Anolis sagrei: one gene and its partners. The main gene of each other region encodes a partner of the protein of the gene in region 2 in a complex. Links are inferred from orthologs where the notes say so. Each region holds a gene or a part of one and is shown on either strand. Other genes may lie near its edges.

Region 1 (8,006 bases), on a different chromosome or scaffold from region 2:
CCAAACAACAGATTACAATAAAATAAAATACAAATTACAAAAAATAAACAACATCGCAGTAAAATACAAAACATATGAATACAATAAGCAGTATACACAAAACCTAAGAAAGCAATAAACAAACATAATGACAGTGAGCGGGCTGCATGTACAATAAAATGGTTTAAAAACTCAGGGTGAGATAAAAGGAGCAGATTATTTGCATGGGAGAACTCAGTGTAATAGACATACCTTTGTACAAGGGCGGGAGGGGGGGGGGATACTCCTAGGACAGAAACATTGAGGGGGAGCAATAGCTAAAGCTTGTGTGGCTACTCTCCAAAAGTGCAGCGGCAGAGCCAGGTCTTGAGATTCTTTTTAAAGGTTTCTAGGCTAGGGACTTTCCTAATCTCACCGGGCAATGAATTCCAGAATCGAGGAGCTACGGAGGAAAGGGCTCTCTCCCTTGTATTATTATTATTATTATTATTATTATTATTATTATTATTAATCACCATCATCATCATCATCTTTATTTTTAACCTGTCCCCTCTTCCCAAAGGAACTCAGGGTGGCTCCCAAAGGCAAACATAGGAATCAAACAAGCAGTTAAATCAAATAGTTACAAATAAACCAATAAAACAACAAAGACTAAAACATGTAGTCAATCAACCTCATAAATAACACCACAGGCTGGTAAAATCCATATAAAAATAAAAAATACACAAGCATATAAACATGACTCTCTAGTAAGTTAAGGAAATATAATCACTGTCAGCATCGTCAGACAAGATAAAAGCAATAATAAGCTAATCATCTTCCTCCCCAAAGACCAATGTACAAAAGTATGTTTTTAAGTGCCTCTAAAAGGAAAAGGAGTGAAGAGACTCTTCTGATTTCCACAGAGAGGGAGTTCCAGAGGGAAGGAGCGATCACTGTGAAGGCCCCACTCTCATGTTCACACCAACTACAATTGAGACAGGGGTGGGACTGAGAGCAGCCCCCCTCCCCAATGACCACAGTGTCTGTATTGGTTGCGGAATGCGTTTAGTTAAATAGCCTGGACCCGGACTGTTTAGGGCTTTAGGGCATGTTTATACAAGGACCATTTTATTTATTTTAAAGGTAGTTCAGGCTTTGCTTTGGGATGCTCTTATCTTTCCCTAAAACATAGATTTGTGCTCTTTCCTTATGTTTGTTGGCTGTTATTTCTGATTTGTTGTTAAAAGGTTTTGCGGATTTGATTTTATCACTGAAAACGTAACTGGAAGATGTTAAGCACTTTTTCCACTCATACTGGCTATTTATAGCACTGTTTTCCTTTTTTAAAAATGGTTTCTTTTTCTTAGACTTATCATATTGTTTATGTAAGCCATCTTAAATAGCAAGAAGCATAAAACAATTGCTCTTATAAATAAGTAAAGCTATTTGTGGGGTTGCACTAGTTTCATTTGTCTTTCTGCTTCTAACAAGCAACCAGGGAAATAATTGGAATAGTAGGGAATTTAGTGACATCTCATGATTTGCTTGAAAGTCATAGATTGATAGCATAGCCTAAAGTACAAATGACTTTCCAACTCCATTTATTCATAGGGATACTATGAGAGCAATGGCATGGATTTTAAGGAATGTTTTGAAGCCCAATAGCTTATGAACTGGACATGTTCCGTTTTCTTATTTACTTAGGCAATCCCTTGTTGTCCCAAATATGACAGCCTTCCAAGTGTAGTGATGGTGGTTACATGACTGTGGAGCCCTATTCTTGATTCGCATGTTCTTCCACAGTGAGGGAAGTGCAGGTCTCTTCCAAACACCCTTTATCCCAGAATATCAAAGCAGAAAATCCCACAATATTTGCCTTGAACTGGATTATCTGAGTCCACACTCAGATAATGTGGAATTTTCCGCCTTAATATTCTTGGGTATAGGGCTGTGTGGAAGGGCCCTCAGTTTAAAGTGATGATGGTTACCTTTAAAGTCCTAGATAAATTTGGTCCAAGGCATCTTCCGTTGACCAGAAGCTATCGATATTCTACACATCTCAGCAGAGATCCTCTTCCAAATCTTTCCATGGTCTGTGCATTAGGTGGGTAGTGAAAGAGCAGAATACTTTCTTGATTGTGTCACCCCAAATGTGAAAAAGCCTGGTCCTAAATTTGATGTCCATTTAGAAGCAGGGAAAGACAAAGTTCTGCAACTTTCCGACAGATTTGATAGTAAGTTTCAAGTGGCAGTTTTTCTGTGTACAGTATTTTATGGACTTGCATTGTTGCTACTTCTGTGACAATTATTTCATTGGCATTTGTTTATTTTGGTTATTTACATATGAGAGATGGTTGGCATATTTTACATGGCAAAGTTATAGATCAGTGTAATAACCAAATAATGAAGAACATCTAGGTCAGAGGTATGAATTGTGGCCTTCATGGATATCCAAAGGATTCAGTTCTGCCTTCTATGTTTTCTAACATCTACATGTAGCTGCTAGGGGAAGCCATCTGGAGTGTTGTGGCTGTGTGTCGCCAAAGTTTTGATGATCCCAGATATAGCTGTCCTTTACAACTGTTGGCAGGGAGGTAGTTGAAGTCCTGAGTCATGCAAAGAAGAATTGGATGTCGGCCTACAAATTGAAGATCAAACCATACAAGATAGGAGCACTGATGGTCGGGAGGAAGTCTAACCTGGAATTTGGAATCGTTGCTGTTCTGGGTATGCTTGCACTCCTGGTGAAAGCACAGATTCATAAGGATGCTCTTGGACGTAGGACTGCTTTAAGGCCAGGTAGCTGCAGTGGCCAGGAGTGTACATGTTCTGCTTCAGTTGGTTCAGCTTGGCAATGTTGTGCTATCATGCCTTAGGCCACATCTACACTGATCACTTAAGTCAGTTTCAAACAGGCATTGAAGAAAGTGATTCCACTGAGCAGATTATTACATAGGAAACCCTGGAACCAGTTTGATGCCCCGGCAATTATTACACAGAACATTGATGTGCTTTAAGGGCTTTCTTTCAGACACTTCTTTCTCACAAGAGTCTGTTGTCTATCACCACAGGTTTGAAGCTAGCTTCAAGCTGCATTAAAGGTAGATGGGGCCTTAGTTGCCACCTGGTTAGATTGTTAAACATATTCTATATGATGCTGCCCTGTTCAGGCGCTGCAACTAATACAGCATCCCTACTATTGAAGGTATATGTACTTAAAGACCACATAACCATGAATCTTACAAGAACTGCACTGCCTTCCATTTCACCTTTGATAGTAACTCAGTGTGCTGATTTTGACCAGCAAAATCTTTTTAAAAGCATTGTTCAAGGATATTTGAAAGAACGCCTTCTCTCACATGAGCCTGCCCTAATTTAGAGATCCTCAGGGTTGCATATCTCAGCATCTGATAAGACTAAGTTGGTGTTCATATGGCAGGACCTTCTCTCTAGCAGAACCCTGACTGTAGAATTTCCTGCCAAAAGATGTTTAGCTGGTTCCATCTCTTCTGAGCAGGCAGCTAAAACAGTATTGTTCCATCTAGTCTTTGGTGTTTGATATTGCTCTGCTGTTTTAATTGCCTGCTTTTAAACAGTAAATAAAGAGCAACACTCAAAAACTGGGGAACTCCAGACAAGAAACAATCAGGGACAGCTAATCACATCTCAACAAAGGATTTCCCCAGGCAGCAAGGAGCCTCACCTTAAAACTGCTAGGTCATTAAAAGCTAAGTGGACAATTTCATCAAAAAGGAAGAAACCACGAAAATGAATAAAATCCAGCTACCAGTACAAAAAAAAAAACTTCCAAAATTATAACTGTAAATAAAGAACAACACTAAAACACATGGGAACTCCAGGCAAGAAACAATCAGAGATTGCTAATCACTTCTCCACAAAGGATTCCCCCAGGCAGTAACAAGCCACTTCTAAAAACTGTCAGGCCATCAAATGCTCAGCAAGGTGGCCAACTAAAACATTCATACGTAGCTCCAACAGACAAGAGTTCTTTCTCCCATAGATATAGAAACCCCATTTTCAAGAGTTCTTTCTTCCACAGATATAGAAACCCCATTTTCCTAGTTTCCAACAGACCTCACAATTTCTGAGGATGCCTACCATAGATGTAGGTGAAATGTCAGGAGAGAATGCTTCTGGAACATGGCCATACAGCCCGAAAAACTTACAACAACCCAGTGATTCCAGCCATGAAAAACTTTGACAATACATTGCCTTTAAATTGTTTATGATGAGTGCTTTTAGTTTGTTGTCAGGCTTTCATGGCCGGAATTACTGGGTTGCTGTGAGTTTTCCAGGCCATATGGCAATGTTCCAGAAGCATTCTGTCCTGACATTTCACCCACATCTATGGCAGGGAACCTCAGACCCCTCAACCTCTGCCATAGATGTGGGCGAAACATCAGGAGAGAATGTTTCTGGGACATGACCATACAGCCCAGAAAACTCACAACAACCCATTGTTTTTAGTTTCTTTTTAACATTTGTATCTATATATTTAATCTTTTAATTGTTTTTATCTGATGCGGATCACCATACGGATCCTGGTGAGCAATATCTAAATACTTTTAATAAATGAAAAAATAAAAATAAATGTTGAGAAGCCTAACTTTAAAAGTGCACCTCTGGAGAGGTATGAAGATCCTTATTGTTTAAGGTTAATGTGCTAGTTGTGAGGAATAAAAGATTAATAATGCATTTTGAGGAGGGGAGAGGGGCTCTTTCTCTGAAAGTTCAACATTATTTCTTTGTGCATCTGAGCTGATTCTTTTACATCTGTTCTGTTTTAGGCAAACTAACACTGTAGTGGTCCTCAAGAAGCTGCTGGACTTTGCAGAGTGTAATGAAGAAACCCACTGGTGAGATGGATAACTACAGCTAGTGGATTACCATCAATTAGCCATGTCTGCCAAATCCATCGTGTGCACTGTTCCAAAGAGAAACAGTTTGTTGGAATGTATTACATTTATCCTTCTTACATTTTGAAGTTTGCAAGATAATCCCTTTGTGAAAAGGAGGAACAATGACTTTTTATAGTTTTTATTTGCTTTTCTTTGCGTTTACTTGGAATACCTCTGCCTATGGACCAAATCAAAGGGCACAAAAGAAAGGAGATATTATTCTCGGTGGACTATTTCCCATTCATTTTGGAGTAGCTGCTAAACACCAGGATCTGAAGTCTCGGCCAGAATCTGTAGAGTGCATAAGGTAAGCTTACGCAAAAATATGTAATATACGCTCAAGAACTCCAGTGACCATAGTTCCCATCTCTATGAAGTGAAACCAAATGCTGATTTTGTAAATAGTCTAGAATTTGTCCTGTTGGGTCTTTTTTTAAAGTCATTTCCCACTGTGGTCACAAGTGCTGCCTATCCATGAATGTATGACGTTGTTATATTAAGTTCGGATGTTGGTTCATCTAACCCAGAATGTTATATATCTGTGATTTGAAGGTACTCCATGTATCATATCAGACAACATAGTCTCTAATGCAATTGTTATAGTGTCAGAAGTGACTTGAGAACATACTGTAAGTTGCTTCTGGTGTGGGAGAATCAGTTGTTACCATCCTGTGGGACATTTCTCTCATGTCCCTGCATGGAAAACTGGAGCTGATAGATGGGAGCTCACCCCATCTCGTGGATTTGAACCACCGACCTTCAGGTCAGCAGTTCAGCCATCACAAGGGTTTAACCTATTGCAACACCACAGCTACATTTACCAGTAAAAATGAAATGCACAGATATAGAATAGGTAACACTTTGCTGGAAAACTGTACACGTGAAAGGGATCTAGGAGTCTTAGTACACCACAAGCTGAACATGAGTCAACAGTGTGGTGCGGCAACTCTGGGTTGCATCAATAGAGAAATACTGTCTAAATCAGACCTGCACAATTTCCCAGTAGTAAGGGGCTGAAATTAGATATGCTAAGTCTCTTTGGGCTGCAGATAGCACCTCACTTTTGAATTAAGGTAGAATTGTCCTGAGTTGCCCTTCAAAAACAGCATTTAGACAATGTTGAAAGTAAAAGAAAAATGTTTTACTTCAGCAAATACAAAGGATAAGCAAATACAATTGAAAAGTGCAAAAGAAAGCAAGGTAATCTTAATCCAGACACAAATTAAAGTCTCTTACAATTTCCCAAAAGAAACAGCAGTCTTCCATCAGACAACGGTCAATGAACTAAGTCTTTAGAAGCAGACACAAAGCAGATTCCATTGGAGTGAAAACAGCAGTATCAGGATCGTTGTTACCAGCGAAAGCTGTCTGCTCCTGCTTCTGATTTATAGCCCTGAATTCCCAACGTAGGAGGTGCTAGGGCGTCTCCCAATTAGCTCAGCGTTTTTTAGCAGCTATCTTAGCTGAACACCGTCTGTGCTCTGTCTCTAAGGCTCAGAAAAACAGAAAGTCAATCAAGTGACTCCTGGGTCCTGGGGATTGTTGGCAATCAGTCTCTCAGCGGGGAGTCAAGTGGAAGAATCTGTCTTGTTTCCCAAGACAGCCACATAGTCCAAAGTCACATAAGCACTACATAATATAAATTATGATATTTGATAACCTTGGGTGTTGCCCTGATCAGCTGTACAACAGAAGCACAGTTGTAAAAACAGAATAGTAACATATTGGAGCGGGCAGTTCAATTAGGCAAAGTTTTGCAACAGTGAAGAAGTTAGAAAGGAGAAAAGGAAAGAGACAGTCCCAGAAAACCTGGCAGAGTGAATTTTGTTAATTAAAGAAATGTATGATTTCATGTGTGTGTATATGGATGCAGTCATGCTGGCCACATGACCTTGAAGGTGTCTAAGGACACCGCCGGCTCTTCAGCTTAGAAATGGAGATGAGCACCACACCCCAGAGTGGGGCACGACTGGACTTAATGTCAGGGGGAAACATTTACCTTTACATTATGTGTCGGTGTTTCCTGGGGTGACAAGAAACACCTATACATATCCTTTTATTTTTAATTACCTTGAGGCTGAGAGGGTGGGGCTCAGGAGGTGAGAGAAAGGTCAATCCTGAGTTGTTGGAGTCACAACTTAATCTTGGCTCTAGGGTTCCTTAGATTCACAAAATGATACTTGACCAGATTACGGTGTTAGGTCTTCCTGGACATTCAACTCCCCCCCCCAAAAAAAAACAGTTTCCAAAGCTCATATATCAAGTTTAATTAGCTGCCTGGGAATATGTATATGGTTGTACCCCAGGTTTTGTGAACTGTATGTGACTCTTCTCCCCTGACTTCATTAATAAAGAAAAAAAATATGTGCAAGAGTTCTCTTCCAGTGGCAAGAAAAAAGTAGTTATTTCAATGCAGATGTGCATAGTTTCCTTAATGCGGAAGAGAGAAAAAGAGGGAAATTACCCTGAGAAAGTAGATAATGGAATCTTATGCCTCCCAAGTTTGTCAGATAATAATAAAAATTCAATTCCACTTTACATCTTTTAATTAGGAACTATGAGGTGATGCTTACAAGGAAACAAATCTATTAGCATGGTAAAATTGAATTATTTATAGTGGTCACTTGGACAGCATGACACAGTTGCTGTTCCCACTCAGACCCTATTACATATTTCAAACCCAATAAATTCTGTTTGCAATCCTAAAAAGTGAGTTCTCTGAAAAAATTGCATTTTGTAGTACGGAAGTACTACATCAGTTATGCTCTCTGACATCTTTAATAGAAGCAAACTTTACAAAAGCATCATAAACCTCCAACATGTTACCACATTGAAAGGAAGTCAATCATTGGATTCCCTTTAAGATGCTTCTCCTGATCTCCCTCAGGAAGTGTGAAATTGAATTAGGCAGTCTGCTATTCAAGGATCGTGTTTTGGAGGGAATCACTTTCCATTTTTTTCTTAGCAAACTAGGATTCACTTTCCACTGATTTTTTTTTTGCATCATGTCGAGTAATCTGAAATTTATTTTAATTGGCAATCTTTAAAGGTACAATACTTAAATTCATATCCAGTCCTGACAGCATAAGGAATGTAAGAGACCCACTGAATCTAGCATACAAAGTT
Region 2 (6,888 bases):
GTGACTTAAAAAAAGTTACAGTGGATCATTAACTCTGTAGTTAAGGTCACAGGCAGGATGATGTTGCTACAGCCTACAAACATCAACATCCAAACCACCATGCTTCAAACAAAGTCTAACCTACTCAGTATCTCAACAATCTACTCCCCTGCCATCACACTTTATATGTAAATGTGGAAAAGTCTGAATCTTGTATTTCTTAGCAAAGATTTTCAGGGAACCATGGGGAAAGCAGATGATAGCTTCAAGCAAACCCTGTGTGGGTAGGAACTGGTTTTCCTTTATTATAAGAAGTGCCACATTTCTGACATTTGGGAAGTTTTTCCTTTTGCACAGATTGAACAAGATGATATATATAACCTGTGGTCCGCAAGAACTAAAATAAGGTTTAAGGTCTCACTATTACCACATCGTTGCAACGAGAGCGACGGGTCTCGCAAAACTCTCTTATATTGCTGAGGCTTTTTTAATATGGTTTTTTTTTTTGGGCTAGCAGATAGCAACTACTGGATGGCATATGTTCTGGATCAGAAACTAGAGTTGATGTGGTCTCTCCAATGCAGTTTTTTGAATCAGCACGCCAAATAACCAAACCAAATCTGAAGTTGACCAAAAACTGATTCGTAACCCTTTTGGTACTAATGTTGGAGTGGTCCCTGGTCAAAAAAAGGTTGGGAACAATTGATCTAAGTCAAAGAATGGACATATGCATACATGTTAGTTGACTGATTTGTACCACAAAGGCTTGATGCATCTGGACAAAACTTGGCACACGTACCGTTCATTATCCAACTTAAAATAATGAGTTTGAATTAAAAAGAACCCACCCATTTTTTGGCACAGAGCTGAGGGAACGAAAAGACACAAAGTGGATTGGCTGTTGCTAGGTGCAGTGGCCCTCTGTCCATGTGACTGGGATAGAAAGGAGGAGTGAAGCTGATTAGCTCATACTAGAAGACATATGTAGGGGGAGGGGAGAAAAGAAGCGAAAGTAAGCAATGGAGGGGGAGAAAAAAGGAAGGAAGCGAGGGAAAGGTATGAGGGGAGGGTAGAAAAATGGAAGAGAAAGGAAAGAAGAAGGGGAAGGTGTATAAATGGAAAGTGAAGGAAGGCATTCGCTTTCACTTATCATTATTTAAATTACTTGTTTTAACTTGTGTAATGTATTGTCTTACTTGTTGTCTATATTTTTACTTTGTTTCATACAGGCATTGAATGTTTGCTTTTATTATGTTGGAAGCCGTCCTGTGTCCCCTAAGGGAGATAGGGCGGACTACAAATAAAGGTAAAGGTTTCCCCTTGACATAAAGTCTAGTCATGTCCGACTTTGGCAGTAGACCTCATCGTCATTTCTGTCCATAGATGCATGGACTGCATGGAGCATGACAGCATGGAGCGCAGTTGCCTTCCTGCTGAAGTGGTACCTGTTGATCTACTCGCATTTGCATAATTTCGAACTGCTAGGCTGGCAGAAGCTGGGGCGAACAGTGAGAGCTCACCTTGCTCTCCAGATTCGAAACACGGACCTTTTGGTCAGCAAGTTCAGCAGCTCAGCAGTTTAACCCACTGTGACACCGGGGGCTCTGGGCTACAAATAAAGTATTTGAAAGCCTTCAACACACAACAAGTATTATTATTAAGGAAGAAGGTGGATGAAGGCAAAGAAGAGCCACAAAGAAAAATGAACACCCAGGAAAATGCAGGGTGTATCTATGTATGTATGTGTCTGTATATATCACACTAGCCATCCCCTGCCACATGTTGCTGTGGCCTAGTCTGTGTATATGTGTTTTGTGTGTGTATATGCGTATATCTGTGTGTACATATTTGTGTATATATGTGGTTTTGCGCATGCATTGTAATGTATTTAGTTTTTTGGCTTTTTAAGTCTCTTCTGATGTGTTTTAATGAGTGACTGTCACTCATTGGTCTGATAAGTGTATTGTGCCCAAATCTGGCGTCAAAATTTCCTGTGGTTTTTGAGTTATGTTAATCCCACAAACAAACATTACATTTTTATTTATATAAATACACACCAAATTTAAAATTTTACATAAAATCACCTTCAAGCGGTGTGTATTCAAAACAAAAGTGATCTAAGGGCTGTTGGGAATTATGGGAGTTGAAGTCCGAAGCTTGCCCATGCCTGATCTACACTGTAGAATCAATGGGGTCTGACATCCCTTTCAACTAATGCGGTTCACGGCTATGGATCAGGCTATGTCCCTCTATATTAGGCATGGGCAAAGTTGGGCCCTCCAGGTGTTTTGGACTTCAACTCCCACCATTCCTGACAGCCTCAGGCCCTTTCCTTTTCCCTGTCAGCCACTTTTGGACTTCAGCAGCCTCAGGCCCTTTCCTTTTCCGCCTTAGGCCCCTTTGGGGGAAAAGGAAGGGGCCTGAGGCTGTCAAGAATGATGGGAGTTGAAGTCCAAAACACCTGGAGGGCCCAAGTTTTCCCAAGCCTACTATGGATGGACTCCTGGGTGTTGTGGTTCGGAGAGGCCCCACAAGCCTTTGGCAGAGAAGGCCCAAGACCTCGCAACGCCACGACTCCCCTGATCCTGTAGCACGGAGACATGGCGGCTGAAGTGGGGCCAGGCTGGACGAATTCAAACTGTGCTCGAGCAGGGCTGGGTCTCAGGCCCTTGCGAACTGTACCGGGGCGAAGAGCGTGGCTTGGGCCTAACCGCCGCCTTCCCCCCGCCTAAGGCCCCGGCCCCACCCTTCTCCTCCTTCTCCTTCTCCTCACCCAACAGGAGCAGCTTCACCTCCTTGGCCGCCTTTTCCCCGTCTTCGCGGAGGTTGCGGTCGATCATGCGGCTCCGCTCGACCGCCGCCTTGTCCTCGGCGCTCAGCGTGCAGCCCATGGCGGCGGCGGTGAGGGACGGGAGAGGCCTTAGGCGGCGCCTCTCTGCCTCTCTCTCGCTCTCTCTCTCCTCAACGGTCGCCGCGACTCGAGTTGGGAGGCAACGGGGAAGGGAGGGGCCGGAACGAGAGAGGCACCGGAAACTGGCCTGCTTCCGCTCCTCTACTCCAGACCGACCGACGAAAGGCGAAGTGCATCTTGGGAAATGTAGTTGAAGAACAACCCCGGGGTTTTGTTAAACAATAGTTCTCCAATATGTTTTGGACTTCAGCTCCCAGAACGCCTCAGCTGCTTTGGACCATGGTCAGGGGTTCTAGGGAGCTGAAGTCCAAAATACCTGCGAAACCAGCGTTTGGGAAACATTGAAGGCTTGTGATCTTACAGGCGCAGGAGTCCATAACTATAACTATAGAACAGGCATGGTCAAACTTGGACCCTCCTTCCAGGTGTTTTGGACTTCAACTCCCACCATTCCTAACAGCCTCAGGCCCCTTCCTTTTCTGCCTCAGGCCCCTCTGGACTCCAACTCCCACCATTCCTAACAGCCTCAGGCCCTTTCTTTTTCCCCTCTCAGCCATTTTTGGACTTAAGCAGCCTCAGGCCCCTTCCTTTTTCACCTTAGGCCCCTTTGGACTTCAACTCCCACCATTCCTAACAGCCTCGGGCCCTTTCCTTTTCCCTCTCAGCCACTTTTGGACTTCAGCAGCCTCAGGCCTCTTCCTTTTCCGCCTCAGGCCCCTTTGGACTTCAAGTCCCACCATTCCTAGCAGCCTCAGGCCCTTTCTTTTTCTGCCTCAGTCCCCTTTGGACTTCAACTCCCATCATTCCTAACAGCCTCAGGCCCTTTCCCTTCCCTCCTCAGCCACTTGTGGACTTCAGCAGCCCCAGGCCCTTTCCTTTTTCACCTTAGGCCCCTTTGGACTCCAATTCCCACCATGTCTAACAGCCTCAGGCTCTTTCTTTTCCCCGCTCAGCCACTTTTGGACTTCAGCAGCCTCAGGCCCCTTCCTTTTTCTCCTTAGGCCCCTTTGGACTTCAACTCCCACCATTCCTAACAGCCTCAGGCCCTTTCCTTTTCCCTGTCAGCCACTTTTGGACTTCAGCAGCCTCAGGCCCTTTCCTTTTCCGCCTTAGGCCCCTTTGGACTTCAACTCCCACCATTCTTAACAGCCTCAGGCCCTTTCCTTTTCCCCTCTCAGCCACTTTTGGACTTCAGCAGCCTCAGGCCCCTTCCTTTTTCACCTTAGGCCCCTTTGGACTCCAATTCCCACCATGTCTAACAGCCTCAGGCTCTTTCTTTTCCCCGCTCAGCCACTTTTGGACTTCAGCAGCCTCAGGCCCCTTCCTTTTTCACCTTAGGCCCCTTTGGACTTCAACTCCCACCATTCCCAACAGCCATACATGAGGTTGACTTATACATGAGGTTGACGTACACATGGGTATATACCAGGCATGGACAAACTTGGGCCATCTCTCCATGTGTTTTGGACTTCAACTTCCACAATTCCTAACAGCCTCAGGGAAAAAGGAAGGGGCATGAGGCTGTTAGGAATTGTGGGAGTTGAAGTCCAAAACACCTGGAGAAAGGGCCCGAATTTGCCCAGGCCTATTACAGAATCATGTAGTTATAGAATAACTGAAACTATAACTACATAATTGTAGTCGTGGAATCATGGAGGTTGTATAAGGTCATGAGCCTTCTCTGCCCAGCCTTCCCAATCTGCAATTCCCAGGATTCCCTAACATTGAGCCATGGCAAATAGGCTATGCTGGTGGAAGCAATGGTGCTGGTATGGGCTCCCATGTCTGACAATTTTTTTATTTGGAGCCAAACTAAACTGGATTCAAGTCAAAGGGACTTGTCAGCTGTTGACATGATGAAAGGTAAAAAGGAAGTCTGAGGCTGCACATGTTATAGGAAAGTGGATTGTGAGAAACATTAACCAGGGAATTGAATGTATCAACCTTGCAATACTTGGGGTGAACAAATTACAGTGGACAAGAATAGGACGTTTTGAACCAGAAAATTACATATATAAAGTACATATCTGGATGCAGAAAATGGAGAAGATACATTCTTTCTGCAAACAAACAAACAAAAAACCCCAAGACCAGGAGCAGAATGTGGCACAGACCATGAATTTCAAAAACTGAAGTAGAGTTGAAGGACACTAAGCCAATTGTCATGCCAGAATACAACCCAAGAACATCACTGTAGAATTTAAATATAATGTAGAAATAGATTTGCGCTATTAAGCCTAATTCACCAAGAGCCAGATCTGAAGCCAGGGACTTTGTTGGGGAGGAATACAAAAAGACACTTTTGTAGCAAAAAAAGAGAGTGAAAGCAAAGAAAAGAAAGTTTCCACAAATGAAACTCTTCAAGTAGCTTAAGGGCAGATGAAATGTAAATGCAAAATGGAGAGAAACAGAGTCAGAATTCTAAATGCAACTGTTTATCAAGGGATAAGAAAAGCCACTGTAAAAACCAATAGAGAGAAATAGAAGATGACAGCAGAAAAGGATGGACATGAGACTGAAACAAAATGCACAACTGTCTGTATCTTTGCCCAGTCACAGGTGGCTTAAGTAGGAACATACTAGGAGGCTATGCTCACTCAGACAGCAGGCTATTTTTCTCTCTTGACAGCTGTAGCTCAATTTAATACAAAATACTTCCAACATTTGGGTCTTTGGGATCTTCTTAACAATCCTCTGGAACTATGGGGCTTAAACATTCTGCTCTCACTCAATTGGACAAGAGTCCAATTTGTAACTAGAAAAATAAATGAAACAGGATGTGTCTGTGGATTGTGTGTTACAGGAACAACCCTTAAAAAGGAAATTGTGACTCTTCCTCCCATTTCATAACCCAGTCTCCAAAATAGAGAAGTTGGTGTACAGGCTGTTCTGTCGCCCTCTAGGGACCTTTTCTAGGGAATGTTTCTCCCACCCTGGACATTCCACAGATATATAAACCTCACTTGCCTAGTTTCCAACAGATCTCACAACCTCTGAGGATGCCTGTCATAGAAGTGGGACCCCCCCTGAAAGAGAAAAAACACGAATTTACTATTTTTTTTAACCAGAGATAGAACCTCTCTAGGAATTTCTATATTTTTCAGCATAACTCTTTATTTTACTGTCTACTGGAAGCTGACCATAGAAATGCAATGCAGTACTTAGAGATTCCTAGGGAGATATTCATGATTGGATGAAGGTGGCTATAAAGACACACTTGAAGACTTCAAGATTCCTACAGAGACAATTTTAATCAGATCCATGAATAATCAAATTCACAAGTCAAAAATGCAAATGTGAAGGGATGGGTGCATATAAATTTTCTGTAGGATTGCTTATTCCCTCTTGCCTGAATTTCTGTGTGGAGGGAAAATATTTTAATGACGATGATGACAATGATGGAAGAGGAGGGAAGGAGGCATGGGCTTCCTCTTTATGAATGAATATAAGGAATTGTTATCACTTTAGTGTAGGGTGAATCTAGCACGAAAATAATTTGGCTGACCTGAACATTGCCTCACACATGCTTCTGGATACTGCATACCTACTCCAGATCAGAGCTTTGGAAAGATACTTTTTCTGGACTACATATCCCATAATCCTAATATCTAGTAGGTACTGGGATATGATCTCCAAAAAAGGGACTTTTCTAAGCTTTATCAAGATTGCCTCTCTATTTGGAGCTGATTATCAGAGTATTATCTACAAGCAGACATTTATAAAACATTTACTGTGTCTTTTGTCCCAAACAAAATGAGTACAGAATTAGTTTCCTGACACTGGGAGGGAGAAAGTGAGACACCTGTTGCAGGTGATAAATCTGTCACTCCCTCCTACTTTAGAAGTAGGTGTGGAGGCTCATAATTTCCCAAAGAAAAAAAAAACAAAAGAATCCTTTGTAACTGGTACCCACAGACAGAGAACAAACATAAATTAAACCAGTTTTGTCAGGAAATGCAGCTATAATAAAGATTTTTGGGTCTGTGTTGCCATCTAGA
Region 3 (6,863 bases), about 68 Mb from region 2:
GGATTATCCACCTTGCTATTCTGAGTTATATGGCTGTGTGGAAGAATCATAGAATAAGAGTTGGAAGAGACCTCGTGGGCCATCCAGTCCAACCCCCTGCCAAGAAGCAGGAATATTGCACTCAAATCACCCCTGACAGATGGCCATCCAGCCTCTGTTTAAAAGCTTCCAAAGAAGAAGCCTGCACCACACTCCGGGGCAGAGAGTTCCACTGTTGAACGGCTCTCACAGTCAGGAAGTTCTTCCTAATGTTCAGATGGAATCTCCTCTCTTGAAATTTGAAGCCATTGTTCCACGTCCTAGTCTCCAGGGCAGCAGAAAACAAGCTTGCTTCCTACTCCCTGTGACCAAGATATATAAAGAATATATATATATATATAAAGAGCTCTAGGATATATAAAGTATAAAAGCCTGAGTGCTTTCCTTGCAAGGAAACCCTTCAACACACTGTATTCCCTTTCCTTAAAAAGAAACTATCAATATTACAATGTATTGTCGAAGGCTTTTATGGCTGGAATCACTGGGTTGTTGTAGGTTTTTTCGGGCTATATGGCCATGTTCTAGAAGCATTCTCTCCTGACATTTCGCCTGAGGATGCTTGCCATAGATGCAGGCAAAACGTCAGGAGAGAATGCCTCTAGAACAGTGGTTCTCAACCTGTGGGTCCCCAGGTGTTCTGGTGATTAGAAAATGAACAAAATCTGGCTATCATTATTAAAAAAAATTCTAAAATTAGAACAGTGCAACAACAGAGAGGAAACAAACAAGGACATCTAATCACCTCTCAACAAAGGATTGCTCCAGGTACTGCCAGACAATCAAATGCTAATCAAGGTGGTCAGTTGAAACATTCACACCTAGCTGCAGCAGAAAAAAGTCCTTTGTCCCACCCTGGTCATTCCACAGATATATAAACCCATTTTCCTACTTCCAACAGACCTCACTACCTCTGAGGATGTTTGCCATAGATACAGGCGAAACGTCAGGAGAAAATGCCTCTAGACCATGGCCATATAGCCCGAAAAAACCTACAACATCCAGTGATTCCGGCCATGAAAGCCTTCGACAATCCAAGGATCAACCCTATCTCTACAAAGAGGTGCAATCTTTAGTTAAACTGCAAGATTTTACAAGGGACTCTCTGCCCTCCAAGTAACTCCTTTGAGCTTGGAAGTAGCCCTGTGAAGAGTGGCTTAAAAAGCTGGACATATTTAGTTTGAAGAAGAGAAGAGTGAGAGGAGACATGTATAAATACATGAGAGGAATTCATAGGGAGGAGGGAACAAGCTTGTTTTCTGCTTCCCTGCAGACTAGGACGCGGAACAATGGCTTCAAACTACAAGAGAGGAAATTCCATCTTCTTCTTTTTTGTCGTGTCAGGAGCAACTTGAGAAACAGCAAGTCGCTTCTGGTGTGAGAGAATTGGTCGTCTGCAAGGACGTTACCCAGGAGACGCCCAGAGATTCCATCTGAACACGAGGAAGAACTTCCTGACTGTGAGAGCCGTTCAGCAGTGGAACTCTCTGCCCCAGAGTGTGGTGGAGGCTCCTTCTTTGGAAGCTTTTAAACAGAGGCTGAATGGCCATCTGTCAGGGGTGATTTGAATGCAATATTCCTGCTTCTTGGCAGGGGGTTGGACTGGATGGCCCATGAGGTCTCTTCCAACTCTTTGGTTCTATCTCCCAGAATATCAAGGGTGAAAATCCCACAATATCTGCTTTGATCTGGGTTATCCGAGTCCACACTTCAAAGCAGAAAATGTGGGATTTTATTCAGCTGTGTGGAAGGGGCCTGAATACAGCAAAAGCACCCCAAGTTGTGAAATACAGATTGGCTGCAAATATGATGCAGGTAACTCAATCCCTCCCAACCAGATCCAGAGCTATTCTTTCTCCTGGGTTTACTTTGCAGCAAAGGAGTTTGGCAACAACAAACCTGACCTTTCCCAACTGTATCTTAAAATAGGATTTTCCAAATTGGTCCCCAACATGCCACAGGCTGTCCTGCTATCAACCACAACCCTGTTCGGGCTGTTTGAGGTGCATCTACACTACAGATCCAGTCCAACCCCCTGCCAAGAAGCAGGAATATTGCATTGAAAGCATCCCTGACAGATAGCCATCTACTTAAAAACCTCCAAAGGAGCTTCCACCACACTCCAGGGCAGAGAGTTCCACTGCTGAACGGCTCTCACAGTCAGGAAGTTCTTCCTCATGTTCAGATGGAATCTCTGGGTGTCCCCTGGGTAACCTCCCTGCAGACAGCCAATTCTCTCACACCAGAAGCGACTTGCAGTTTCTCAAGTTGACTGACCCCGCATTAGTTGCTATCATAGAATCATAGAATCAAAGAGTTGGTAGAGACCTCATGGGCCATCCAGTCCAACCCCCTGCCAAGAAGCAGGAATATTGCATTCAAATCACCCCTGACAGATGGCCATCCAGCCTCTGTTTAAACACTTCCAAAGAAGGAGCCTCCACCACACTCCGGGGCAGAGAGTTCCACTGCTGAACGGCTCTCACAGTCAGGAAGTTCTTCCTCATGTTCAGATGGAATCTCCTCTCTTGTAGTTTGAAGCCATTGTTCCGCGTCCTAGTCTCCAAGGAAGCAGAAAACAAGCTTGCTCCCTCCTCCCTGTGGCTTCCTCTCACATATTTATACATGGCTATCATATCTCCTCTCAGCCTTCTCTTCTTCAGGCTAAACATGCCCAGTTCCCTAAGCCGCTCCTCATAGGGCTTGTTCTCCAGACCCTTGATCATTTTAGTCGCTATGTCAGCATTTGGAAGCCCCTTCCCATCTCCCCCTCCTGCACACTTACAGAGTTTTCTTCATCTTCCCCTTTTTCTCCTCTTTGCTCGGGCAGAGGCTGGCGTTTTTCTCCATCGTGCTGCAGTTGTGCTGGAGAGCCAGGAACATTGCACTCTGCATAATCCCCGCAAGGAAATCCAGCAAGCTTCCAAGGTTGGCGACCACGCTTTGAGCCTCCCCTCCGCCCGGCTGGTCCTTTTATAGAGGCGGAGGGCTGGGAGGGAGACGCCCACCTCCCTCCCCCGGATCGCTGATTGGCTGCGCCGAGGGAGGCCTCCCCAAACAAGGAGCGCGCGAGCCCCGCGTCCTCAGGAGAACAGCGTTGACGTAGGTGGCGCGCGCCTCTCTCCCTCTTGCCCTTTTTTTTTTGTCTTTTGAGTTGCTGTTTGTGGCAAAAAATAGACCTCACGAGGAGTCGCCTGCAAACTGGGGACATGACTGAGAATTAGAAATGTGCATGAATATATATATAATTTACATATATATGTGTGTGTTTATTTATATTTATATATTTATATATAAATGTGCATGCATTTATATATATAATTATTTTTATATAAATATTTATATATATATTTATATATAAATGTGCATGCATATCTCTATATAAATAAAAATGTAATTTTAATGTATTGTCGAAGGCTTTCATGGCCGGAATCACTCAGTTCTTGTGGGTTTTTTCGGACTATATGGCCATGTTCTAGAGGCATTTCTCCTGACGTTTCGCCTGCATCTATGGCAAGCTTCCTCAGAGGTGAGGTCTGCTGAAACTGGGGAAAAAAGGGTTTATATATCTGTGGAATGACCAGGGTGAGACAAAGGGCTTTTGTAAGTTGGGCTAGGTGTGGATCTTTCAACTGACCACCTTGATTAGCATACAATGGGCTGACTGTGCCTGGAGCAAACTCTTCTTGAAAGGTGATTAGATGTCCCTGCCTGTTTTTCTCTCTGCTGTTTTTGCTGTTGCAATTTTAGATTTTTTTTAATACTGGTAGCCAGATTTTGTTCATTTTCGTGGTTTCCTCCTTTCTGTTGAAATTGTCCACATGCTTGTGTATTTCAATGGCTTCTCTGTGTAGTCTGACATGGTGGTTGTTGGAGTGGTCCAGCATTTCTGTGTTCTCAAATAATATGCTGTGTCCAGGTTGGTTCACCAGGTGCTCTGCTATGGCTGACTTCTCTGGTTGAAGTAGTCTGCAGTGCCTTTCATGTTCCTTCATGCGTGTCTGGGCGATGCTGCGTTTGGTGGTCCCTATGTAGACTTGTCCACAGCTGCATGGTACACGGTAGACTCCTGCAGAGGTGAGAGGATCCCTCTTGTCCTTTGCTGAACGTAGCATTTGTTGGATTTTCTTGGTGGGTTTGTAGATTGTTTGTATATACATGTATATACACACAACGAAACACAACATGCAAACAATCTACAAACCCACCAAGAAAATCCAACAAATGCTACGTTCAGCAAAGGACAAGAGGGATCTTCTCACCTCTGCAGGAGTCTACCGTATTCCACGCAGCTGTGGACAAGTCTACATAGGGACCACCAAACACAGCATTGCCCAAACAAGAATCCAGGAACATGAAAGGCACTGCAGACTACTTCAACCAGAGAAATCAGCCATAGCAGAGCACCTGATGAACCAACCTGGACACAGCATTTTATTTGAGAACACAAAAATGCTGGACCACTCTCACAACCACCATGTCAGACTACATAGAGAAGCCATTGAAATCCACAAACATGTGGACAATTTCAACAGAAAGGAAGAAACCATGAAAATGAACAAAATCTGGCTACCAGTATTAAAAAAAAATTCTAAAATTGCAACAGCAAAAACAGCAGAGAGAAAAACAGGCAGGGACATCTAATCACCTTTCAAGAAGAGTTTGCTCCAGGCACAGTCAGCCCATTGTATGCTAATCAAGGTGGTCAGTTGAAAGATCCACACCTAGCCCAACTTACAAAAGCCCTTTGTCTCACCCTGGTCATTCCACAGATATATAAACCCCCTTTTTTCCCAGTTCCAGCAGCCCTCACCTCTGAGGATGCTTGCCATAGATGCAGGCAAAATGTCAGGAGAAATGCCTCTAGAACATGGCCATATAGCCCGAAAAAACCCCACAAGAACTGAATGTAATGTTAGTTCGTGCTGCCATCAGAACTCAAAAACCACTGGATGAATTGACACCAAATTTGGACACTAGACACCTAACAGTCCAATATATGTCCTCCACTCAAAAAAATTGATTTTGTCATTTGGGAATTGTCGTTGCTGGGATTTATAGTTCACCTACAATCAGAGAGCATTCTGAACTCCACCAATGATGGAATTGGGCCAAACTTAGCACACAGGGCTCCCATGACCAACACAAAAGACTAAAAGGGTGTGGTGGGCATTGAGCTTGAGTTTGGGAGTTGTAGTTCACCTACATCCAGAGAGCACTGTGGACGCAAACAATGATGGATCTCGACCAAACTTGGGACGAATATTCCATATGCCCAAATATGAACACAGATGGAGTTTAAGGGAAATAGACCTTGACATTTGGGAGTTGTAGTTGCTGGGATTTATAGTTCACTACAATTTAAGAGCATTCTGAAACCCACAAACGACAGAAATGGGGCAAACTTTACATAGATACACACATGCAAATACACACATACACTTAAATATGCATGTTGTGTGTGTAAATATATGTGCATACATATATTTGTATGTATATATACACACACATGCATATATACAGATATACATTTACACACATATACACACATTTATGCAGACATATACACACATGCATATATGTACACACAGTACATATATATATGCACACATATACACATGCATTTATATTTTGCATGTATATACACACAATATACATATATACACACATGCATATGTATTTATGCACATACATATATACACATAGTATATACATGCATGCATGCATGCATATATATATATATATATATATATATATATATATATATATATTTGCGCGCACATATACAGATATGGATGGATGTTATCCTTGGCCTGACCTTGAAGGAGCTGGGGGTGGTGATGGCTGACAGGGAGCTCTGGCGTGGGCTGGTTCATGAGGTCCCGAAGAATCGGAAGCAACTGAATGAATAAACAACAATACACACACACACATATATATACACACATCCATATATATATATATATATATATTAGCACACACAGATATATACACATATATACAGAGTTCTGCAGGGATATATTAACCCAGTTATATACACAGTTAATATGTGACAGTTCTACAGTCAACTACTCTTGCTGTCGTGAGCTATTCAAATATTTTTCTATTCATACATATTTGAATACAGAGTTCTGCATCTCTCTCAATCTGTAGGCGTGTTTTTTTAAACTTTGGGTACCTCTTTTGTTTGCAGACGGATTCATGGCAAAGACCATATATGGAGTGGATCACATCTGAACAAGATGCCACTTTCCTGGTGAATGGCAGAAGGGCTGCGTTGCAGCCGTAGGTTTTCAGTGATGCATGCACAAGTAATCCTTGCTTTTTAAATCTACACAAAGATGCCCATGGGTGGGGTTGTGGGGGTGATTTCTATAAGCCAGGAAAAATAAATTTAAAAATCCCCATCCCTTCAGCTTCTTTCATATGGTTTTGAAAATTGGCTTTGGAAAAGGATGCCTTGTGCTTAGCAGATTCTCAAAGGGGTGTTTTACCTACCAAAAACACATTAGCAAAATCATGATGAAACTAAATCCGTTCCATTGAATGCAGTTGGACTGGGCTGTGATCCTGTACACACTTAAGGGGAAAAATCACACCAAACCAGTCAAACATCAGGGAAGAAGCATCAGAGGATGGATCTACACTGCCATATAATCCAGTCAGTCAGGAAAACAGGCATGTAATAGATGTATTGTAATATATGTATTTTGTGGTGTTGTGTTTTAATGTAAGCATTGTATGATTATATGTTTTATCTGTGTTATTATTATTATTATTATTATTAAACTTTATTTGTACCCCGCTAGCATCTCCCGAAGGACTCG
Region 4 (7,778 bases), about 4.3 Mb from region 2:
TTGACAGGTTACGTTGTGCTATGAGCCCCTGGTGCTATAAATCCTTCAGCTTGTTTCAGTGATACCTTGTAAAATCTTCTTCAACCTAAGGCCAAAGGTGAGTCAACAATAAACCGTGACTCATACTTGAGCCTCATAAGTGCTGATATAATCAAATTGATCGTGGTGGATTTCAGAGCAGAAAACACTGCCTGCCAGGTCTGGAAGGGCATGACAAAAACAAACAAGTATGGAAGCTGCAATTCAGGGGGGCATTCAGAAATGGGTGTTTTGGATGTTATGTCCCACCAACTTTCCTTTTATGTAGATATCCCAGATCTGTTTTTCACCAAACAGCATTCAGAGAGCTCTCCCAAAAGGAAATGCAAGTCAAATTCATTTCTACTACACTGTATAAGCAGAAGTCTGAGTCTGGTGTTCTGAGATACATTTCAAAAACAGCAACTCTCTCAAAGGAAGAAGTGAGAGGATGCAAAGTGGACTGGTTATCGTGCCCTTCATCACAAAATCCTACCAAGATGGGGTGCCTCCCCACTTCCATTCACAAGAAGCTGTGAGACTTAGTCAGCACAGGTCCAAGTAATTTCCTACCTGCAGTGAAAACACCAATCTTTGTGCCTATGCTACTGCTGAAGGCAGAAATAAGAACTTCATCTCACCTTTCCTTCTACTGGCAGCTACTACCTCTGCTTCTCCTCTTGCCTGAGAAATCCAAAGAGACCATTGTAGTGATGCATAATAGTGGCCTCCCTGGAAGACTGGCTAGCTCAGACAAAATTCAGGGCTGGGCCTTTATTAGGAATGAGCAAAATGCCAGGGAAATGTGCCAGATTTTGAGTTCTTGGGGATGTGGGAAGAAAAAAGTTAACCTGAAGAAGGAGCTGTCTAACTAGGGAGCCATGGTGGACAGCTCCATGCCCTGTGTGTTTCTTTCTCTCTCCTATAGCTCTGAGTACTGGATTCCTTGCCTAAGAAACCCCTATAGGATTCTTGGGGTCGCCATAAGTTGACAGGAGACTTAAAGGCACACAGACATTCACAGAAACACAACTTTGCCGAAGGGGAACTCGCATCCATTGAGTCGTTCTTTCACAGAAGGTATTACAAAGGTATCCCCAAGCCAAAGGGACAATAACAATCCCTTGCTGAACTAAATGGAGAAGAGTGAGAGAGGCGTTTGGGCTTCTTTCTCAGCCTCCAAAGCCACAGCAGCAAAGGGTCCATTGCCTCCAGGCGTGTGAGAGAAGAGAGAGTTCCAGCCCAGGCAGCCAAACCTCCTCAGCGCCGCCTTTTCCCATTCCAAGGCAACACATAGTAAAAGAGGTGGAAAAGCGCAGGCACCGGAGGGAGAGCCATCCCCAGGTCTCTCTCAGGGGCTTGCAGAAGAAAACCATGAATGCCATTCACCGGGAAGAGAAAGGTGGAAAGAGGCCGAAAGATCTGGCAAAGGCATCTTCTGAGCCATCTACAAGAAGCATCACGTAGCACTACATCACCCAAGTGGCGTCTGGACCGGTTTCCAGCTCTTCTTCCCTATGCCCTATCTGATCACACTGGCTCCTCAAACCATTCTCCATTTTACAAAAGAATAAGAAACTCTTCTGCAACCCGAACAGATTCAAACGTCCTTCTGGTCCATGTCACCAAAAGGCTGAAGCGTTTGGAGCCAAATAATAACTCGGGGCGTAGAGAGAGCTTTCCTAAATAGGAACGGAGCAAAAGCAAAGGCGCCTGTCTGCCTGCCCATTGGCTCCAATGCCCCCCAGCGTTTGCTGCAGTTTTTCCTCCCCCTGCCCTCTCTCCATGCGATGGGAACCCTGCTATATTGACCGCACGGGAGGGGAGGGGATGCAAGGAACATCTCCCCTTTCAGCCCTGCAATCCCTTCCACACACACACACCATTCATCATGTGTTGGAAGCTCCTTCTTTGGATGGCCATCTGTCAGGGGTGTTTTGGATGCGATTTTCCTGCTTCTTGGCAGGGGTCTGGACTGGATGGCCCACGAGGTCTCTTCCAACTCTATGATTCTATGTTTCTATCACCCATCCAGCCCCCCTGGCAGTGCTGCCACGTTCATGAACATCGCCTCCAGCATCGAAACCCTCTCAACCCAGGGTAAAGTTCCTCACAGGTGGTCAGTCCTTCCATTGGCATCCTAAGGAGGAGAAACCCGGGACAGCCTCTCGCTCCAGAGGAACCCCAAGCACAAAGATCTCAGAGAGACCCCGTTTTCCCTCCAAAGATTAAGGGGAGGCACGTTGCCATTCCCAAATGGTAAGGCAATCGCAGGCTTCTCCAGATTCAAAGGAGAGCATGAGATAAGACTTGAGGAAGGTATGCTGAGGGCAATCCCTCCAAACCCCTTCACCATCATACAATTCTATATTTATCAGTTTTATACTAATGTTTGCAATGCTTTTGATACGAAATAAATAAATAAATAAAACCACCATGGAGGGGAATTACTCACCCTCAGAAATCAAGCGAAGTTGGGTGAAATCCTCCCATGCCGGGAATGTTGTAGACTAGAGAAAGAAATCCAAGCTTCCCTCCCGACTTCCCTGCAGGCTTCACTTTCTGGAGGCGCTGGGCTCTCTCTCTCTCTCTCTCTCTCTCTCTCTCTTTATTCCCAGCACTTGCGCTGCTCAACTCCTTGGGGGGGAATTCTGCCTGGTTGACAAAGAAAGAAAAGCCTCCCCGTCCCTTGCTTCCTGCCTTTTGCGGTCTTCGGCGCTTCTCCCTCCTGTCCAAAATCAGGATGGGTCTGGCATAGTTCCTGGCGGGGGATCTTCTTCTCCTCCTCCTCCTCCTCTTCCTCTTCTTCTTCTCTCTTTGCCTTTTCTCCTCCCCTCTTTTCTCTTCGCCTCCCTCGACAAGCCCTTCCCGTGCCCGGTGCAGCTCCCCTGCTTTCCTCTTTCACCTCCTGGTAATTAATGGATCTTGGTGGACCTCGTCGGGCTAGCGGGAGGTTTGAGTTCTCCCCCCTCCTTCTCTCCCTCCCTCCCTCCCTCTCATTTCCCGCGTGCACGCGCGCCGGCGCGTCCACCCACGAGCGCGTCCACGCGCCGCACGGGCTGCTCCTTCCCAAGTGCCTGGGAATGAAAGGAAGCCGGGGCTGGTCCGGAGGAGCTGTCCGCCTCCAGTGGTGCTGAAAGAGCCCCTTCAGGTGCTAGCCAGAGGCGAGAGAAAGACGCTGGCTGGGAATCTCGGACTCTTTGCTAAAGAAAAGCGGCTTTCCCGGAGGGAGCAGCGAGGCTGAGGCGCACACCATCCAGTTGCCAAGAAATCCTAGAATTGAACTCATAGACCAGCGGGACTCCAGCCTTGAGGCACGGTAATGTGTGGCTCTGGACGAGGAGCCATCCCTCCTGTCTCTTAAGACTGATGCCCCCCCCCCCTTTCTTTCCCCTCTTCTCCTCTCACCGTTTGGGGATATTTGCAAGAGAGGACTGCTCCGTGGACCCAAAAGGAAAGGAGTAAGGAAAGAGAAGGGATTCCACAGTCAGGCTAAACTACATTCAGCCTGATAACATCTCCAGCGATCAAGAGGGAGGGAGGCTTGGAAGTTTTGCATTAATAGCTGCTGCTTAAGCTTTGGTTTCTACCAGCCTTTTAAAGAACTAGTACACCTTAGTGGCAGGGGAAAAGGAGCGGAAAACAGCTCTACAGAAAGGCATGTGCAGCCTGATTTTGGACCATTCTTGTCTTAGATAGATAGATAGACAGACAGACAGACAGACCATTCAAAAATACCAGAAATATAGACAAATCTCTCAGCTGTGCATTGTAAAAAAAAGGGGGGGGGATACATCATGCATCTAATGAAACCGACTGTAATCCAAGCAAGCACAAGCATTTGTTCATGGTTATAGTGCCACAGGACTCATTGCTACACACACACAAACAAAATGAAGGAAGATACTTCCACATGTATTTTAAAAACAGGGCATGGGAAACATCAGAAAGATAGAAAAAAAGACTCCATAAGATGCAGTATAAATGATGAGATCAGGTGTATTACATGAAGACATACAGAACATGTTTATAAGGACAGGTGGCACTGTGGATCTTACCACTAGATATCCAAAGCAGCCATGTAAACATACTTGACAATGGCAGTGGAATTGATTGCCTTTTTAATTATATTATATACTGTTCATACATTAGCCCTCTGCAATCTTACCTGTTAGGAAATGTGCCATGGTAGCAATGCAAAATACCACAAAAATGGATATCTTCCAAATTATGCTGAAGAGTTTCACTCCTGAAATTGAATCCCCTGGAGAAGAGGGTGCTCCTGACCACATCTTTATTTCACCATTAACAAAATAGGACTAGAACAACTGTTTTTCTGAGAGCTGCAACACTTTGCTCTCCTTCCTGAGACGTGCAGAGGAAAGTAGTTCCCAAATCACAATGATCATTAATAGATTGCAAATGAGTAATCCAAACAATGCACAAACATACATGTAGGAATGATTGATAGGCAAACAAGCAGAACAGGCAGCTGGGGTAAACACATGTTTGCCTGCAAAACAATCTTACCACATTATAGTGTTTAATAAAAATTATCACCTAATTTTGGTGGATAACAATCAAAATGGAACCTTTCATCAATCAGCTACAGCTATCTTAATTGTGCCCCTTGTATGCCATTGTGCGTGCCATGAAGTACACAGCAGGCATAATCCAATCAAGCCTAAAAGCAACAATATGCTGCCTACACATGGTCAGCATAGCTCTCAATTTGTAAGAAATCTCATGCTAATGAGGAAAGTCACTTGCAAATCCCGGTGGCTCTGAAATAGTCACTGTGCCCTAGCAATTAATTAATCCAAAACAGGACCCTCTAGAAATTATCATTGGCAGAATTAACTGCTCCGGTCCATCAAGATAATAATGATTGATACATAAATTGGTCATGAAAATCCATCTGCAGCATGTTGCAGGCTGTCACCTCAACAGGGCTTGCAGATACCACCAGGGCAATGCCAGTCATAGTCTGCAATCAATTTCAAGTGTATAAACACACAGAGGTAACAAGAGAGCCATTTTATGTTTTGTTTTATATAGCATATCTGAACTCCCATAATTTTTTGTTTTGTTTTGTATTTTTCGTGTCAGGAGTGACTTGAGAAACTGCAAGTCGCTTCTGGTGTGAGAGAATTGGCTGTCTGCAAGGACATTGTCCAGGGGACACCAGGATATTTTTATGTTTTAACATCCTTGTGGGAGGCTTATCTCATGTCCCTGCATGGGGAGCCAGAGCTGACAGAGGGAGCTCATCTGCGCTCTCCCCGGATTCGAACCTGCAACCTGTCAGTCTTCAGTCCTGCTGGCACAAGGGTTTAACCCACTGAGGGCTCCCTTGGTGAAATCACACCAGCCAGAGGGAGGGAGGTCTATTTATTTATTTATTTATTTACTTCGCTTATATACCGCAATTCTCAGCCCAGGGGCGACTCTATTTGTGAGTATGTATAATTTAAAACATTTGCAGAACACAGTGATGGACTTGGGTTGTAAAACAAAACTTACAAGCAAGATCATCAGAGATTACTCCTAAGTGTGGGCAGAGATGGCACAGGATCCTAATAATCTGTACAATGTAACCAAATAGAAAAGGGTAAGTTTCCAGTCTTGAGGCATATTGAGTAATCACACCCCCTCCCCTCCATACCATCCCGCCTACCACAGGCAGTAGATTAATGGTATTGATTGCCCCCTTGGGATTTCTCTCAACTGTTCACATTATAGCACTTCAGTAGAAACAGGGTACATCATCAAGTTTGGTTATTTCAGCTGTGACTGAAAGGAAAGGAATTCCCTGGGAATTAGCAACAAGCAGGATGCAAGGAACAGATGCAGATGTATGAGATACATTCTGCCTCATCAAGGTTATTACTGTACGTACTGGAGTCAAAGCTGGCTTGAGCTTTTTTGCTGCCTTTGCAAAAATTAATTCCCCCTCCCCACGTTTTGTTTTATGTAGAATGAATTGGGGGGGGGGGGTGAACTGTGTTTCCTCTTCCAAGATTTTCATGATTGCAGCCCTTTTCCTTCTTCTATATACACAAGCAAATGTAACAAAGAGAAAGGGAGGGTCTCTCACTACAATTAATTGTATTGAATGAAGGGAAAGAGCTGCAGATTTTATTTTATTATTTACAGTATTTATATTCTGCCCTTCTCACTCTGAATGGGACTCAGGGCAGATCACAGAACACATACATGGTGAACATTCAATGCCATTAAACAGACAGGACAGACAACAGATAGATAAAAAATGTCGGCATTTCCCCCAATTTCGGCATCCTGGAGGTTGTGCTTGATTGTGGCCACAGGGAGGCGCTGTTGTACCATCCCTTATGATGAAAAGCCCTTGATCACAGGCTTCCTCCTTCCTTTGATCACTGGCATTTTCTGGTATTTTCTTTTTATGGTGCCATAAAATACCTCCCCGCTTAAGCAGTACCTAATTTCTCAACTCATAGCTAACAGCTGTTTTTTGAACTGCTTAGGTGGACAGTGAGCTGGGCTAAAGGTTGAGTGCTCACCCCATGCCGGGCTTTGAACTGCCAACTGCCAAGTTGGGAAAGAGAAATGTGATTCGGAAAAAGAGAGAGACCTACAGCTTTCCCTCCTACTCTGTGTCATCCAGATGTTCTTACCATCCCTAACCATTATCTGTGCTGTTTGAGGTTGATAGGAGTTACAACCCACCTGGAAGGCACCAATTTGGAGAAGGCTGACATAAAATGGAGTTTCCCAAGGATAAGATAGATTTTCCTTTCCACCTCAGTGGTTTTTTCCCTCAATTATTTTGGAACTTTTTGGATCCCATCATCCCAGAATAAATTAACAAATTTGAAGTGCTAGATTGCTAAATACTATCCTCCTTCCCAGTAGGTCATATGTATCATGCCACATGGAGAACAATTTATATCTCCTTGTCTTTGCAGTCGACCAAATAAATCTGAAAGTAAGACCCCCTTTTTACCTCCTCGCATCCCTCCGGCTTCTACAAACACTGATCATCATGGCTTTTAAAACATGTCTTTCCAAAACAATGGTGGCCCATCTACAAGGACAAGGAGGTGATTGAATCTGACGAAATTACAATCTCTGAGGATGGCTGCCATAGATGAAGGTGAAACATCAAGAGAGAATGCTTCTGGAACATGGCCATTCATCCCGGAAAACTCACAACAACCCAGTGATTCTGGCCATGAAAGCCTTCGACAATACAAATGACAATAGTTTTCATTTCAAAAGATTATATATGACAGATCAACAGTTGGATTAAATATAGAAGCAGCTTCCATACAAACCATATCAGGCTGTTAGATGACAACAGCAAAGTCTCAAGGATAATATTTGTTTCTAAATCATGCAGTATAGGGACACCTACTGTGCAAGTCTCCCATTTAAGAATACCAGTGTTCTCAATTGAAGAAGCCAGATGTTCATGCCTGGCTTGAGGTAGGGTTCATTTTACTGAGCAGAGCCAGTGGCAGAGTGTGAGATTTAGACCTATGACATCCCTGCACAGTGTGACCATTATCGTCATGCACCTGAGGCACATGCAGAACTTCTCTAAAGGTCATTGCATAATTCCTTGTCCAGTCCCATTCATTCACTGATGTTACAGAAAACTATCAAGAGGGCAAACTTGTCATGTGTTCATTTGCCATCCAACAACATAACCGAGCTCCAGCCCAGTAAAATAACTGAGGATATGAAATAACTAATCATCATTGCTGTTGCCAAAACCC

The links.
Region 1: the proteins of GNAI3 (region 2) and CASR are in contact, whole or in part, in a cryo-EM structure (PDB 8SZH), measured with the Homo sapiens proteins. The link is inferred for Anolis sagrei from reciprocal best matches to the Homo sapiens genes GNAI3 and CASR. Residues at the interface, in NP_006487.1 of Homo sapiens: Ala31, Lys32, Gln304, Glu308, Lys314, Asp315, Thr316, Lys317, Glu318, Ile319, Tyr320, Thr321, Phe334, Asp337, Ala338, Thr340, Asp341, Ile343, Ile344, Lys345, Asn347, Leu348, Glu350, Cys351, Gly352, Leu353, Tyr354; in NP_000379.3 of Homo sapiens: Lys644, Ala645, Asn647, Arg701, Val702, Val705, Phe706, Ala708, Lys709, Pro711, Thr712, Arg716, Trp719, Phe801, Ile869, Val872, Arg873, Thr876, Ala877, Ala880, Phe881, Lys882, Val883, Ala884, Ala885, Arg886.
Region 3: the proteins of GNAI3 (region 2) and RGS2 are in contact, whole or in part, in a crystal structure (PDB 2V4Z), measured with the Homo sapiens proteins. The link is inferred for Anolis sagrei from reciprocal best matches to the Homo sapiens genes GNAI3 and RGS2. Residues at the interface, in NP_006487.1 of Homo sapiens: Val179, Lys180, Thr181, Thr182, Gly183, Ile184, Val185, Gln204, Ser206, Glu207, Lys209, Lys210, His213, Ala235, Glu236, Asp237, Glu238; in NP_002914.1 of Homo sapiens: Glu104, Phe105, Glu108, Asn109, Glu143, Ala144, Pro145, Glu147, Ile148, Asn149, Asp151, Phe152, Leu180, Asn183, Ser185, Arg188.
Region 4: the proteins of GNAI3 (region 2) and GRM4 are in contact, whole or in part, in a cryo-EM structure (PDB 8JD6), measured with the Homo sapiens proteins. The link is inferred for Anolis sagrei from reciprocal best matches to the Homo sapiens genes GNAI3 and GRM4. Residues at the interface, in NP_006487.1 of Homo sapiens: Ala31, Lys32, Val34, Lys192, Asp193, Leu194, Thr219, Phe336, Thr340, Ile343, Ile344, Asn347, Leu348, Cys351, Gly352, Leu353, Tyr354; in NP_000832.1 of Homo sapiens: Pro616, Lys619, Ala620, Gly622, Arg623, Glu624, Arg676, Ile677, Ile680, Phe681, Gln683, Gly684, Lys685, Arg686, Ser687, Val688, Ser689, Ala690, Ile694, Ser695, Pro696, Phe781.

What each region holds. Positions count from the first base shown.
Region 1 is NC_090022.1:198,540,902-198,548,907, reverse strand, and holds the start of CASR (extracellular calcium-sensing receptor), read left to right. Parts: upstream 1-5,002; coding exon 5,003-5,187; intron 5,188-8,006. UniProt on the Homo sapiens protein: G-protein-coupled receptor that senses changes in the extracellular concentration of calcium ions and plays a key role in maintaining calcium homeostasis.
Region 2 is NC_090024.1:184,493,914-184,500,801, forward strand, and holds the start of GNAI3 (guanine nucleotide-binding protein G(i) subunit alpha-3), read right to left. Parts: upstream 3,006-6,888; 5' UTR 2,871-3,005; coding exon 2,753-2,870; intron 1-2,752. UniProt on the Homo sapiens protein: Heterotrimeric guanine nucleotide-binding proteins (G proteins) function as transducers downstream of G protein-coupled receptors (GPCRs) in numerous signaling cascades.
Region 3 is NC_090024.1:116,337,401-116,344,263, forward strand, and holds the start of RGS2 (regulator of G-protein signaling 2), read right to left. Parts: upstream 3,002-6,863; 5' UTR 2,932-3,001; coding exon 2,822-2,931; intron 1-2,821. UniProt on the Homo sapiens protein: Regulates G protein-coupled receptor signaling cascades. Inhibits signal transduction by increasing the GTPase activity of G protein alpha subunits, thereby driving them into their inactive GDP-bound form.
Region 4 is NC_090024.1:188,836,002-188,843,779, forward strand, and holds the start of GRM4 (metabotropic glutamate receptor 4), read right to left. Parts: upstream 3,019-7,778; 5' UTR 2,474-3,018; intron 1-2,473.